Linked DNA regions of Xenopus tropicalis. The protein of the gene in region 1 purifies or fractionates together with the protein of each later gene. This does not show direct contact. Links are inferred from orthologs where the notes say so. Each region holds a gene or a part of one and is shown on either strand. Other genes may lie near its edges.

The links.
Region 2: the proteins of wrap73 (region 1) and ssx2ip purify together in Homo sapiens (co-immunoprecipitation; 4 studies listed by BioGRID and IntAct, counting the BioPlex papers as one, with this or other methods). This does not show direct contact. The link is inferred for Xenopus tropicalis from reciprocal best matches to the Homo sapiens genes WRAP73 and SSX2IP.

Annotation. Positions count from the first base shown.
Region 1 is NC_030683.2:101,399,853-101,403,610, reverse strand, and holds the start of wrap73 (WD repeat-containing protein WRAP73), read right to left. Parts: upstream 2,850-3,758; 5' UTR 2,665-2,849; coding exon 2,596-2,664; intron 723-2,595; coding exon 570-722; intron 1-569.
Region 2 is NC_030680.2:77,501,156-77,504,813, forward strand, and holds part of ssx2ip (afadin- and alpha-actinin-binding protein), read left to right. Parts: intron 1-27; coding exon 28-237; intron 238-2,270; coding exon 2,271-2,381; intron 2,382-3,658. UniProt on the Homo sapiens protein: Belongs to an adhesion system, which plays a role in the organization of homotypic, interneuronal and heterotypic cell-cell adherens junctions (AJs).

The sequences.
Region 1 (3,758 bases):
GCCGTGACACAACTACTACAAACTGGACACTATGTACAAAATAGCAGTATTGTGCAATAGATTACACAATAACTGAAAGAAGTGGGGGGTACATGTACCCCCCATTACATAAAGAGAGTAAATGTAACCTGTCTGCACTTAATGACTACTTTATGCCCCTGATGGTAACAGTGCATACAGCTATTATACGCTTCTGTACTTACACCAATCCTACTAATATGAAGTGACCAACCACTACAAAAAGTCAAGTCTTCAAGGGCACAAATGCCTCAGGTGCAAAGCCAAAGAGAAAAATTAAAAAAGGCAATGTACAGGAAAGAAAATAAAGCATATCTAGCTGCTAAACAGTGTGTTTATTTGCACCCTATAATACGAGGTAACTGCACTACTTTACATTAACACCAACAGTACACAGGAACATTATATAGCACTGAATACAATAAATGCTCACTGATACATATCCATACAAATACTGGTCTTAAGCTATTTCCAGTGTTTTACCAGATTATTGTCAATAATAACAAAAGGTGATTAGTAATACTTTCCTTATTCTCAGTATAATCTCTTACCTGCACAAGTCCTCTTTTATACATAGCACAGAGGATGAACATGGAGTCTGACGACCATTCTATGTACTGGATCTGATCTAAACACGTGTATAGCTGAAGGATCTGCAGGGTGCTCACATCCCTTATTACAAGCCTGTATTGCACACAGGATGCCTGGTAAAAATAAGCAAGACATTCTGATTTTAGTTTAGGTTTATTTAAAATAAATAACACAAAACAAATGAATTTAATAATCCTACCACCACTACTACACTGATAGATCCATGGACTTATTGCTCTTTCACCCTACAATAGTCCTTCCATCAAAAAGAATCAGAGATATATCAATTAGACCAGACAGTGTGTTTTCCATAGACTTGTGTCTTTATTCCACCAAATGGTGCTTTATTATACATGTATTGGATCCCTTATCCAGAAACATAAAATCCTGAAAGCTCTGAATTTATGGGAAGGCCATTCCCTATAAATTCCTTTTTAATCAAATTATTCATATTTTAAAAAATTATTCCCTTCTCTGTAATAAAACAGTACCTTCTACAGGTATGGGATCCGTTATCTGGAAACCTGTTATCCAGAAAGCTCCAAATTACGGAAAGCCTGTCTTCCATAGACTCCATTTTAATCAAATAATTCAAATTTTTAAAAATGATTTCCTTTTTCTCTGTAATAATAAAACAGTACCTTGTACTTGATCCCAACTAAGATATAATTAATCCTTATTGGATGCAAAACAATCCTATTGGGTTTAATTCATGTTATATTGAATTTTTAGTAGACTTAAGGTATGCAGATCCAAATTACAGAAAATCCGGAATACCCTTGGTCCAGAGCATTCTGGATAACTGGCCCTGTACGTGATCCCACCTAATATATAATTAATCCTTACTTAAAGCAAAACAATTCTATTGGGTTTATTTAATGTTTATATTATTTTTAGCAAAGTATGGTGATCCAAATTGCAGAAGGACCTCTTATCTGGAAAAACCCAGGTCCTGAACATTCTGGATAAGAGGTCCCATACCTGTCTACTGCAGAATTACATCCCATAGATTCCATTATAAGCAAATAATAAGCAAATAATTCTAATTTTTAAGAATGGTTTCCTTTTTCTCTGTAGTAATAAAACTGTACCTTGTACTTGATCACAAACTAAGATATAATTAATCCTTATTGGGGGGCAAAACAATCCTATTGGGTTTATTCAATATTTAAATGAAAGCAGACTTAAGTTATGGAAATCCAAATTACAGAAAGATCCCTTATCCGGAAAACCCCAGGTCCCGAGCATTCTGGATAACAGGTCCCATACCTGTATATCTTTATAGCGACCAGTAGAACCCATCAATTTAGCAAGACCACGAAAAACTCCATTAGGTCCCCCTGCTTGGGGCGATTTCATGCATTTCAGTGCCTGAGTGCTTTACAGCTCAGCAGGTCACAAAATGCTCATCCATTCATTTCTATGGGAATTACCTGGACTCCTTGGGGGTCACTGATTGTGGCACGTAAGCAACTATTGCTTTGTTAGGCTACAATGTTATTATTGTATTATTAATTAAACGTGAATAACCCCTTTGAACATCTTACACCTGGAAATGCCCAGCCAGGGTGCACTTGTTTGGGCTACAGAATAACACAGAACTCCCTATGATGAACAGAAAAATGGGTTCTAGGATAAACAGACAAGGGTCATTTGTGTTGGAGAATATATTATTCTGGGGTGTCCAACCTGAAACCCTCCAGCTGTTGTTAAACTACTATTCTCACATCCCCATGCTGTTCATCACTAATGGCTATACTGCTAAATATCTTCTTCTCCCTTCCACAAAGGGACCCTATGATGGATGTATAATGCTGGTAGTCATGGTTACCAACCTATTAACACCTGGTCTGCAAGAGATGAACCTTTAGTTTTTCAGTCTGTGTCTGAACTACAACTCCCAGAATACCCTGTCCCAAGAGGGCATATGAGTTCTAATAAAAGCCGCAGATTAAATCTATGCACTCCCGCAATTGGCTCACTCACCAGATACTTCCCGTTGGGGGAGAACTTGCAGAGCTGATTTGAAAGCTTAAACACTTCGGAAAAATTCATGGTCTTGTCACAGTTTCACTTAATAAGCAGCAAGCTCCATAACAAGTGCCGGGAGATTGGGGGCGGAACACGCTCACGGCGGGTCGGAACTACGTCTAATACGAACTGACGACTACGGCGAAGGGATGGCAGTATCGCAGTAGCAGGGTGGAGCTTCACTGACTGACAGAACAAAGCAGCCTATAGGATGCATATATACGGGAGGCTACGATAAATAGGCGTGACCATGAGGCCTTTCTGAGAATAGGCAAAAGGCGTGCTTATAAAGAGGGGCGTGTGCGTAACTCTTCAGTGGGCGGGGTTAATAATAAATGCCGGAAGGAGGGCAGAGTTTGTTGGCGCTGGAACTGTAGCGCCGTGGGATTATGACAGCTGGTTGGCTCAACTGACACAGCGGGTGGGCGGAGTTATGGCCTGTCCGCGGGTGAAGCGGCGGGAAGAGTGGGAGTTCCACAGGCGGGAACTGGGCCCGCGTCTAAATACTGAAATCGCTGCTGCTAGATGATGGTTAATGTAGGGTTAAAGTGCGGCCTTCCGGCTGGACTTGAACATTATCTCCTGCAATACCCCCCATCTTCAATACAACTGAACATTGAAGCAGCCATGCTAGTATTATCTATTGCCAACAAAAAACACTCGGTAGCGGTTATATCTTTACTGTATATAGGCAGGAATTGTTGTGCATCTTTTGTAGGTTTTACTCCGTAAGGTGGTAGTTTGCCTTTAAATTAACTGTTAGCATGCCGAAGACTGTAACATTCCACGGCAGTTTCCGATTGAGCTTTATTTTTGTATTTTTTTTTGTCCTGAATTGTGTTGCTTTTTGTTTTTGCCTTTCCAGCTGGGAATTCCAGAAGTTATCTGGTTGCTAGGGTCCAATTTATCCTAGAAATCAGACGGTGACTTGTTTAAGAGACAAGAAGATGAATAGGAAAGGGTATGAATAGAAAGATAAGTAATAAAACCTAAGAAAATTGTAGCCTTACATTTCATTATATTCTAAAAGCTGTTAAGCGCTCACTTGGTCACAATACTCCTTGTAATTATACTGCCTGTCAGGGCGCATTGATTAATTTATGGTCAGTAACACCTAC
Region 2 (3,658 bases), on another chromosome or scaffold:
TGATAACACATGTTTTTCTCTAAATAGGAGCTTAGAACCTTAGGCTTTCCAACAGTGCAAGTTGTATCCAAGAATGGAGAAGGAAGAAAATTGCATTTGGTGTCTATCATCAACTGTATTCATGAGCTACTTCAAAGAAATTCCCAAAATATGCGAGGCAAAGAAGAAGTAGAAACACAGATTCTGAAAATAAATGGTGACCTGGAGCATCTACAGAGTATTCATCAGAGGCAGAAGGTGAGATTGCTGCCAGAGAAATGTGACAGCCCCTGATAAAAGAAAGGAGGGTACAGATGGTGAGGGGGGTTAACCCTTCATATCTTTGAAATAACTCAGGGCAGCAGAGAAGGGTCCCTGGGAGGCCTCTTAAGCAACTTTCTTGCAGTGCTTAAATGATTCCTAAAGTTGTCCATGTTGGTAGCCTTTTATTTTTTAAGATTCAAGAGTCTACAGGGTTTCTGATACATATTTGTAAGATTGTAGATATTAGATTGGAAACTTTTTGGCAGTGCCCTCTGTCTTTTGTATCGGTTGTAGTTGTGGGTGTTTTGTTTTTTTTTTAATACCCATTTATTGTATGGCACTGTGGAATGTTTATAAATATGTGTTAAAGGGGACGATTACCTTGGTTTTACACTTGGCCTAATATTCATGCTAGTATAGCTTAGCATACCTTTTTAGATCTAGTTTTCCTTTTAGTTTAAGCACTGCCCCTCTCCTTCACTTCCTCTCCTGGAACGTCTCGGAGTCAGAGGAGCCACCGGCTTATTGTCATAACCTGGTAATGTCAGTGAATGACAGGCAGAACTCTCTGTGCCTGGCCTGATTAAACTGTCACACACTTTTCATTCAGGTCAGTCATGTCTAGGCAATAGTACAGACTTTTTTTTTTTGTAACAACTGTGGGGCCACTGCTCACATTTAGGAATATGTAATTATTTAATAGTATGTATCAGACGGCGGGCTTCCTGCTATCTCCGAATAACTACTTCCAGTTAAGTGTACAGGCAATTCTGATGTATGCTATTGGATAATGTGAAGAAAGTATGTTCCTCCATGTGACCAGTGTGCCCTCCATCTGTCACAGAGCTATAACTGCTTCTATCAAAGCTGTACTTGTGGAACTAGGGGGCTCTCCAGCTGTCGCAGATGATCAGGAGATGTCCCTCTAGCTGTGAATTAAATCACAATTTGCCCAATCTAAGATTTAAAGGAGTTGCAGCTAGAAGCAGGTGGGCCACACCATAGTTGCTTTATTTACTGTTCTACACAGTAGATGATGTACAAATAAACACTGGGTATGAGATCTTATATCTGATATTGGGGATACAGTAGAACTTTACAGTTTGGAGGAGAGTTGCAGTTCCACTAATCGTTTCATAGGGTAGGAAAAAGAGAGAAAGGGTAGGGACCTTTTTCTGGGGAAAAATGATAATGCTAAAATAAGAGCTGAGTTTGTCCTAATGCTGAGCTTTGAAAATCTTTATAGCTATGATATAAAAGGTAAAACATTTTTGTAAAACCATTTTTGTCACCATACATTCAGAAATAGGGGGAAATACTAGCAGATGAGACTGACACAAAAACCTGTAAAACCTTTAAAGCAGTCTTGTTTGTTTTTTTCTTTTTTTTTTTTTTTTGTCATGTTACCTTTATAACACCTTCAGTTTTAATGATAAGAAGCCAAGCCAACTGTAGGCTAGTAGTATTTTTTTTTTTATTTTGAAATGTTATGTTTATTGGTTGTTTTTATAACCGTTTTGTTTACATACAAACAATGTAAGGGGGAAGATGGAAAGAGTTTGAAAAATCCTGTGTTAGAGGGTAGATTGGGGAGAAGAGGAGGGGGTGCACTCTTGCCTAGTTTTTATAACAGATATAAGCTGTATCTTGAATATGGTCTGTGGGTCTATCTAATATAGGCATAATTGTCCTCTGATTCATTTGTGCATTTATTAAGCGGTGTGGGATAGTCTCTGGGTATGCTGGCTTTCAGTCCATAGGGTCCATGGAGACCAAACCTCCTCGTATTTATCCATTTTGTGGTGAATAAGTGCTTAGTAGACTTTGATTTTAATGTACACAAATAACTAGCATCATCTGCAAAGCATAAAACTGTTATGTCAAACAAAAGATATTAAAACAGTACAGATTTCAGTTTTTTTGTTGAAAGTAAATAGAAAATACTAGTTGGAACTATAGTCTAAATATTACATAAGCATTTTAAATATAGTTTTTTTTTTTGTTTTTTTTTTTTAAATTTTCAACAGGACCAGCTGGAAGCCACAAGGCGAGAAAACTGTGCTCACCAGGAGAGGGATCGTCAGATGCAGTGCAAAAATCGTAACCTTCTCCAGCTGCTTAAGAATGAAAAGGAGGAGGTAGCTGTCTCGATAGGTTTATGGTTTTGCTATGCTATGAAACTGGAAGCACAGAACACTTGCAGTGTACACATACAAGGTAGAAGAATAGAACAAACTTAGAGGTATAATAAAAAAAAAATGGTTAAACTATTCCCACTTTCTCATCTCTTCAATTCTGTATGCCCACCCTAACCCCTTTCAGTCTTCATGAGCAATATTAATCATGAATATACAGCATATTTGCAAACATTTAAAATATACAGATAACCTATGCATACCCTAAAGTTAGAAAAATATGTTCCCCTTTTGACAAACTAGTTCAGTTGGGCTTATGTGGGAGGGAAGATGGTCTGCAAGCAAGTTATCATGGTTCTCTTTCATCTGTGCTGTTGTCAGTCAGTTAGCTAAGTTCAGGGACCAACTCACGATATACTGTGTATATAAAATACAAATGTCACAAGGTGGCAAGGTAATTCAGATTCACATTTAAAAAAGCATTTTAGAAATCAGCCCTGTACTATCAGCTTATAAGAGAAGTGAACCCCGTTTCTTCTGTGATTTGCAATAACCCGCTAAGCTTCTTAATAGCAAACATATTTGTGTGTTAAAGATGGGCTGGTGCAATAAGTTCAGTATTTAAAATACAGCATTTCTAGCCATTTTTAGGGTTTAGTTCTCCTATAAGTATAAAATTCTAAAACGGCAACATAACAAGTTTGATAATAAACCACAGAGAACAAGTGTTAAAAACAAACTGTGGTTTAGTTCTTGTTCAGTCTTATTAATTTACCCATCTGTTTTTTCACCTGGGTCCAGGTTTTTGGGAAGACCACAAAGGCCTGATATGAGACTAGGGAGGCACATTTTTCGTGGTGGCATGCCTCCCAGCTGCATATGTATTTCTTTCTAGAACTGTTTCTAAGGGCATCCAGCATTTAATCTGATTATTACGTGTAACATAAAATGACTAGTCCTTCATAATAATTTCATTAAATACAATAAAAACAAAAACTTTCTGTGGAAAAAAACCCCATCTTAAACAGGTTTTAAACTATTTCATCTATGACAGACAAGGAGATTAGGCACTCCATGCATATTGTGCTCTAGCGGTGGTGACTAATCTCCTCGAATGCTTTACTACCGGGAAGAATGTAAATCAGTGGTAGGTAAACATAGCCAAAGTAGCCTGAAGTTTCTTTGTGAGGCAGCTTCAGCCGACTTTGGAAAACCGAAGCAATGCATATGTTTTCCTACTGGCGATTTACATTCTGTATGTGATGTAGGAAAACGTGTTG